2 linked regions of the Drosophila melanogaster genome follow. The protein of the gene in region 1 interacts with the protein of each later gene in a pairwise test. Each region holds a gene or a part of one and is shown in the gene's direction. Other genes may lie near its edges.

Region 1 (4,016 bases):
ACATATAGAAAACCCCCAGCCAGTTTTTCCACTCGTCGTGGCTTGTTTTGCTTGAGTTTCGCTGACTGCGTAATTGGATAAGATGGGAAATTACTTTAAATCCTTCGCTGATCCACATCCGGACATTCGTCGAAGGAAAATCCATTGCAGGGAAATACGAAATGGAAATGCGGCTGGGTTATTGGCTCGACATTTCCCATCTTCCCTCACGCCATTGGTTGCAGGATCGCGGGGAATTGGAATTCCGCGCTGGAATTTTTTGTCACCTCTTGGGTTTATCAAAACTTTTGGGTTTGCTATGGATTTTTTCCAATTTTACCACCGCGCCTGGTTTTTTTTTTTTGACGACGCGGAAAATCGGACTTGGCTATGCGGGCTTGTCTGTTTTTCCGGGTACAAAGTCTGCATGTCAGCCTCCATGCGGGAGTGGGAGTTGGGAAAGTTTCCCATCGATAGTTGGAGGGGTGGCTTGAAAGTCTGGAGGTGCTAGCTGGGAAAGTTGTGTGTGCGCGATGAGGCAAGGAGTCAAAGATCAGGGGAGTTGGAAAGCGAGAATTGTGGGAATCGTCCAGGACTCAGCTGGATGCTGAGGGGCAGTATGATTTTTTTTACGTTATCAATCGAATTGATTTTAAGACAGCAGAACTTCACATACTAATAAGATGACCATGGGATTAGTTAAAATGTGTAACTCGTATTCGAATCGTCATTCTTTCACGGACCAATCGTGGGAACAGGAGATCTCTTCGATCCAAGCTCACAGGAGACTTGACACTCTTCGTCTATTCCTTGTCAAGTTTTTAATGACATCTCCTATGCCCTGAGCTATGTTTTCCTAGCTCTCATCGATCGCTGCCAATGAGCCACTGGAGATGATCCATAAGTCAGCGTAGAGTGCACCCCAGAGTTGACACTTGGTGTCTCGGAATTCGGCTCATTATCAGTGCTATTTTTGGAACACCTCTCTGCGAAGGTGTCATTTTTGTCAGTGCGTATCGCTCAGGTTCAACTCCCCACCAAAAACCGAATTTAGAGCATCGGCAGATGTACTTGAAGCACTCAATCTAAGTGAGGAAACCACCCCATGAACGAAGAGTACTAGGAGTCCTATTTGACTCGTGCTTAAAAATAGAAAATTACTTAGGGTGATCCATAGGTAGGGAGGCGATATTGTAACTTGCATTTCGGACCCGGACCTGCACGAGTTATTACGGGTGGGTTGTGAGCGTATCGGGAAATTGGAGAGCCACCAGATCTGTCATAACTTATACGGGGGATCCTTATTCCTGGGAGGGTGCGCCTGCGTCTGCTCTTCCGAGAGAGAGGTGGGAAATGGAGGAAGAGAGAGAGAGAGAGAGTGAGAGAGCAGGTAGAGGGAAGTGAGGGAAATACGCAATAAGGGTATGGGAAAAGTGCTGTTGTTGTTGCTAGGTAGCGACGCACACGTGCGAGTGTTTTTCTGTTTTGAAGAAGAACCACCACCAAATGGCGACAGCGGCGTCGGCAGAGGCGCAGAGTTCCGGGTATAAAAGAGCGTGCTCGACTGTTGACCTGTCACAGCCACCTCAGCTCTCGTTGAGAACGCAACCACCGCTCTATACTCGATCCCGAACTATATAACTCGCCTCTCGATCGCCGATCTCCCGATTTACCCATCTCGATCAGTACCGGAAACTAAAACTTAATCACACACACATCAAAAATGGCCGCCAACTACAAAAGCTGCCCGCTAAAGAAGCGCCCCATTGTCTTCGTGGAGGAGCGTCTGCCACAAACGGAGGCCTTGGCCCTGACCAAGGACTCACAGTTTGCCCAGGATCAGCCGCAGGATCTATCCCTGAAACGGGGTCGCGACGAGGAGACCCAGGATTATCAGCAGCCGGAACCGAAACGTGACTATGTGCTGAACCTTTCAAAAACACCGGAAAGGAACTCCAGCTCTAGCTCCAACTCCTGCCTGCTGTCGCCGCCAGTGGAGGCCCAGGATTACCTGCCCACCGAAATCCATATGCGTGGACTAACGGCAGGAACAACGGGATATACCACCGCCACCCCCACCACGATTAATCCCTTCCAGTCCGCCTTTGTGATGGCCGCCGGTTGCAATCCGATCTCTGCCCTGTGGAGCAGCTATCAGCCCCATCTGGCCGCCTTCCCCTCGCCAGCCAGCTCGATGGCCTCGCCCCAGTCGGTCTACAGCTACCAGCAGATGACGCCGCCCTCCAGCCCCGGATCCGATCTGGAAACCGGTTCCGAGCCAGAGGATCTTTCAGTGCGAAATGACATCCCACTGCCGGCTCTGTTCCACCTTTTCGATGAGGCCAAGTCCAGCAGCAGCGGTGCCAGTGTAAGCAGCTCATCGGGATACTCCTACACTCCGGCCATGAGTGCCTCGTCGGCGAGTGTTGCCGCCAATCATGCCAAAAACTACCGCTTCAAGTGCGACGAGTGCCAGAAGATGTACTCCACCTCGATGGGCCTGTCCAAGCACCGTCAGTTCCACTGCCCGGCAGCCGAGTGTAATCAGGAGAAGAAGACCCACTCCTGCGAGGAGTGTGGAAAGCTGTACACCACCATTGGAGCCCTGAAGATGCACATCCGCACCCACACTCTGCCCTGCAAGTGCCCCATTTGCGGCAAGGCCTTCTCTCGACCCTGGCTGCTCCAGGGACACATCCGCACCCACACTGGAGAGAAGCCTTTCCAGTGCCCCGACTGCCCACGATCCTTTGCCGACCGCTCGAACCTGCGAGCTCATCAGCAGACCCACGTGGACGTCAAGAAGTACGCCTGCCAGGTGTGCCACAAATCTTTCTCCAGGATGTCGCTCCTGAACAAGCACTCCAGCTCCAACTGCACCATCACTATTGCGTAGGATTCTCGACATATGAATCCCTTAGCAGGACACAATTACCTAAGCAAACTCACATTCCGCTGGCGAAGACCAAACAAACAGACAATACCTATTATAAGTTTGTACTAAGTCGATTCGGTTTTGGTGCTACTATTACTATATTTATTTCAGCTATAGTATTCTAAGTTTAAGTTCATGTATATTGCCTCATTGTCACACGCAGCATTTTACCAAATCTATTCATTTAATTATAATATACCCTTATTTATGTATTCTCAGTACTGTTAAGCCAACTGTTGTTAAGATTATTCCTAGCTTAAAGAGAAGAATTAAATATTTTTATAAAATAAAACTCACGAAAAGAAATTTATATGGTCTTTATTATTTTTAACAATTTTGAAAGAAATTCTCACAGAAGGAAACTGTATAGAAATATTCAATTTAAATTCTATCACTAATATTTGGGCTCAAATACAGACAGATGTGAATAAAAAAATTTAAAAATTTGTAACCAAAAGTTATAGAAAACATTTTAGGTAGTAACAGCATTCATCGAAACGCATTAAAAAAATGTAATCTTTCCTTCTACAGTTTCTATGTGCCTTCAAAATGTACAATAATTAACAGGAAACCAAACATCCGCATTTTGGGGTCTGCCCCTGTTCATATTTTGTGACAATTTCCGCCAACCCTCTCGAAAAACAGAAATCACAACAATAGCAATATCGAATTCTCGGAGAAAACACCTTTGGCATGTGCAAACAGGGAACCGATTTGTCATACACTTTCCTTTTCGGGGACTTCCTTCTAACCCGCCCCCATTAATAGCATTCCATCAATTTCAATCCATATCGCTCGGCGTTTTGCACCTTTTGCCAATGCAAATATTTAATTAGCTGACACCGACATCGCTTCACGTTTACATTTCTGCAATCCTTTTCCAGCATTTTGCCGAACTGATGGCGGCGCATGCGTCCTGAGTCCCTAAAGGATACCAAAGGACACCAGAGGACCGTGGAGTGCAGGTGATAAACGTAGCGACGGCTGCTTATCGAGTCCTTCCTGATTGACTGGCAGACGGTAGTTCAGGTCCTGATTGGATTGGATTACCACCGAAGCATGCTCTAAACCGAGAACCCGTCGAGGTTTATCTGACTATTTG
Region 2 (4,357 bases), on another chromosome or scaffold:
ACTTTTACTTTATTTCCTAGGACTTAGTTCAGAATTTAAAATGTCTTTCATCAGTTTAACAATCTCTGGTGACGTGTTTTTCCACTGAGCTTTTCAATAAACTCTTAAGAACTGAAAATTTAGGATTTATAATGCCAAGCCTTGGTTTAACTAACATAAAATCTTAATGCCAGATGAAATATTGAAATAACCAGTGGAGTTGCACTTGAACTCATAAGGAGCGTTGCGCCGATAGCTGTAGTCGATAGTGCCGAACAGTGCCATCACTAGCCGCTAAAGTGGCAATATTCACTGCGGTTTCTACTTTAGCATAAACAAATTGAATTCTGTCTCCATGGAGAAGGTGGAGGCGGTAACAGTGTCCAATGTTGATCCCTATAGGCGGATCCTAAACAAGGTGGTGTCCCAGCTGCTATTGGACAAGGGGGCCGGCCAAGCGAGCAACCACAGCCTGGAGACGCTCACCCAGATGCTGCAGGCGTGTAAGTTGACATTGTGATTACCATTTTGTACTAGGATAATCATTTAGCACGCCATTCCAGTGATCTGGGAGATCGGCAATTCGGCGCATAACTACTGCGAGCTAAGTGGACGCACGATGCCCACCGTGGGCGATGTCAGTTTGGCCCTGATTAACATGGGCATTTCGATCTCCAATTTGGATCCGTACATGCGCAAGGAGACGCACGTGCCCATTCCACTGCCCCCACAGCAGACGCAGCAGCGCCCGCTGAGTCTGCTGCAAGCGGGCATCAAGGCCCCGCATCCCCACTACGTGCCCAGCTACTTCCCTCCCATGCCCGATCCGCACGCCTACATACGGACGCCCACGCACAAGCAGCCCGTAACAGAGTACGAGGCCATCAGGGAGAAGGCCGCCTGCCAGAAGCGGGACATCGAGAAGGCGCTCACAAAGTTCCTCTGCAAGACCACGGAGACGAACAACCTCTTTCCCACCGAGGACAACATGTTTCCTTGTAAGAGGCACCATAATCATCCAGCGAACAATAATTAATAACCATTTCCTTTCAGTAATTGCCTGCAAACCGGCCTTTCCTCCCTATGCAGCCGCTTTAAATCCCACAGATCAGGTGTTTGACTTCGAGGAGCTGGAGTACCACTATCTGGTGGCCAATCGCACAGAAGATGAGCCCAGCAAAGGTGCGTTTCTTTCAAATAGTCAGATGCCACGAGTGCTAACACTTTCCACCCTTTTAGACGACGGCGAAGAGGGCGATAGCGAAAACGAGGAGATGGATGGCGACAAATCCAAAGAGGAGAAGCCCGAGCTGGATATCAAGCCCAATTCCAACACAAACAAGGCCATTTTGGAGAACCCCAACATCGATAATCCCTATTTGCGGGCGGCTACTCTGCCCAAGCGATCCAAAAATTGCCCCACACCCGGAACCATGCCCAGCAGGAGTCTGGCCACCACGGCGCCAACGATACGAACGCCCTCCACTCTAGAGATAACCAAAACTAACCTTTAAGAGTAGCAGGCGTTTTTAATTATGGTTTGAAAATGTAAACACTCCTGTTTTCTTTAAATTTAAAAAATTAAAAAATTTAAAGTGTAGTTTTAGGTTCAAGGACTAATATATTTTATTTTATACTTACATATTTGGAATCTTTAAGTTTGAACTGAAGACATTGTATAGGGCCAATTTCCTCAAAATGGCATAATATTTCGTGTTATATATTTAAATAATAAAATAAATGGGTACTCCAGCAACGATCTGTGCTGGAAGATCTGCAAATCGGCTATGTTCTTCAATCTGCAAACCGCTAATCCAGCGGCAAATGCACTTCCATCAAGGCAATTGAGGAAGGTCCAGTCGTGCCCTGTCCATTAAGATCAATTAGGCAACAAATGAGGCATCGGCAAGTGCTCTCCGAGATTTTGCATAAAAAGCCGGCTGTTCACCGCCACAATTGCAATTTACGGATACACGATGTCGGACGCACTGGAGGAGCCACCATTGTACCTTACGCCGCAGTTCTTCAGGCGCACCCTGGAGCACGGATTGCAGCAGCTGGACCTGCAGGTCATCGGTGTCCAGCTGACCAATCTGACGCGTGGCGGGGAAAACTACTGCAGCAACATTTACCGAGCTCAGATTAAGTATCGCAATGCCGAGAGCTGCGCAATGGAGACATCCCTGATCGTCAAGTCCATGCCGGACGAGAAGCAGGCCATTCTGGCCCGCCTGCACATTTATAACAAGGAGACGCTTTTCTACATGCACATCAAGCCCAAGCTGGAGGCACTCATGTGGAGGGCGGTGGATAGTTTCAGCGCTTGGACTTTGGCTCCCAAGTGAGTTCTAAGCGGCAGTGTGTCTAGGATCCATGAGGAGTAACTTTCGTTTTTCTATTTGCAGGCACTACTATTCCACGACCCAGCCGGAGCAGACGATCATCCTGGAGGACCTTTGCGCCGCAGGCTATCAGTTGAAGTGCCGCCAGCTGGGTCTGGACTTTGACCACGCCGCTCTGGTGATGGCCAAACTGGCCGAATACCATGCCCTCACCATGGTCATGGCCGAACGGGAGCCAGAAACCATTGTGGACCGCTATCCCTTCGGTCTGCTCCACATGGATGCCATCAATTCGGAGCCCTTCAAGCTGCTCTTCGGCACTCAGCTCCTAAAGCTGGCCGCTCTGGTCGGTGACTGTGAGGGATTCGGTGGGATCACCACAAAGCTCTACCGCTACCACGAGCACTTCACCGAACGAGTCCTGAAGGCGGTGTACCCACTGCGCGGCAACCATAACGTGCTCAATCACGGCGATCTTTGGGTGAACAACATATTCTTCAAGTACGATGCGGAGTACACGGTGCAGCAGGTGAAGATTGTAAGTACCAAAAGGTTGGCCACAAAAATTGAGGCTTCCAGCAATCTCCAATATTAGATTATTTATTTCTTCATAAACCAACTAAGAACTAGCAGCTAGTAGCTAGTGTTTATATCAGAATTGACTGATCCTTTAATGCCCTTTTTACTGCCCCTTCAGATTGACTTCCAGCTGTGCTTCTACGGCAGCCTGGGCTTCGACATCAACTACTTCCTGAACACCAGCTTGGAACTGGAGGTGCTACGTGACCGGCGGCAGGAGCTTGTCGACATCTACTACAGGTCCCTGGTGGACTGCCTGAAGCATCTGCCCTGGTCCAAGGAGCTGCCCAGCTATGAGGATATCATGGATGAAATCAGAAAGCGCGAAGCCTACGGTTTCTTTGTGGCTTTCGGATTCTTCCCGCTGATGAGCATGATCGGTGTGGACTCCGAGGACAACTCACTGAAGAACTTTCACGACGAGACATTCGCCAGGCAGAAGGTGCAGCTCATGTTCGAAGGAAACACTCGCACGCTGGAGAGCCTCAAGTGCACCTTGAAACGTCTGGACGAGTTGAAACTGTTCGACTAGGCGGTATATACATAGTTCGTAAACACATTTTTTTTTTGTCTATTTTCAAATAAATTATAAAGGCCTTGTTGAATTTGTACATGTTGCAAAGCATGTTCCAATCAAACCAAAACCCATTCTATTATAAACAAAAAAGCACGATGTAGATTAGTGTCGTGACTATCAGATACCCCTTAAAAATGCACGATAATACCATTACAATACAATATGCAATAAACTTTTTGGCATACATTTTCAATATCGCTGTCTTTTCATTCAAAACTATACTGTATTTATGATATTCGAGATCGTGAGATTTCGATCCCCTCCTGAAAATCTCAACCATTTTAAAGATTATTTCGCTCAGTGTTTGTGTGCAAAAGATGATTTTGGGCATGGCAAGGTAGAAAGAATGTTCGTTTTTTTTTTTTGTAATTTAATTTAATTTACATTAAAAAATATAATTTGTAAATAATGAAATATAATAAATAATTCATCAAGGCGTTCAGATGTTTGGCTGTTGTTTTGAATCGTTGATCTGAATTATTTATAAGCAGTTGAGTTTGAGTTTGAGTCTGAGTTTGATTTTGATTTTGAGTTAATTTAGTTGTTGCTGTTGTTGTTTATTGACTTCATTTCTGATCAAATCCATTGTGGACACATATATATGGCGAGATATATACATGCATATATATTTGCGGATATATATATATATTAATAGATTCATATAAATTATATTGCTTCAGATAATTGTTGTAAATAATTTCAATTATTGTTTAGGGCGGGAGTCACGGGTCAGTGGACACTAGTGGACGTGTGGACACTTAAGCTTCGGCCTCAACCTCCTCCTTCACCTTGGCATCTCCGGGCTTGCCCTTGGACCAGTCGGGTTTCTTCTGCTCATCCGGACGTGGATATCATGGCGGAATAGAGTAGAGAAGATATC

What was found.
Region 2: the proteins of sna (region 1) and CG7135 interact in a two-hybrid assay, tested with the Drosophila melanogaster proteins (one large-scale study listed by BioGRID).

The regions. Positions count from the first base shown.
Region 1 is NT_033779.5:15,475,794-15,479,809, reverse strand, and holds sna (snail), read left to right. Parts: upstream 1-1,549; 5' UTR 1,550-1,702; coding exon 1,703-2,875; 3' UTR 2,876-3,217; downstream 3,218-4,016. UniProt on the Drosophila melanogaster protein: Essential for the correct specification of ventral-dorsal patterns.
Region 2 is NC_004354.4:18,101,726-18,106,082, forward strand, and holds CG7135 (uncharacterized protein), read left to right. Parts: upstream 1-1,927; 5' UTR 1,928-1,955; coding exon 1,956-2,320; intron 2,321-2,384; coding exon 2,385-2,859; intron 2,860-3,018; coding exon 3,019-3,432; 3' UTR 3,433-3,668; downstream 3,669-4,357. Other genes in the region: Taf8 (TBP-associated factor 8), read left to right, coding at 335-482, 543-977, 1,033-1,161, 1,219-1,493; wupA (wings up A), read right to left, coding at 4,236-4,307.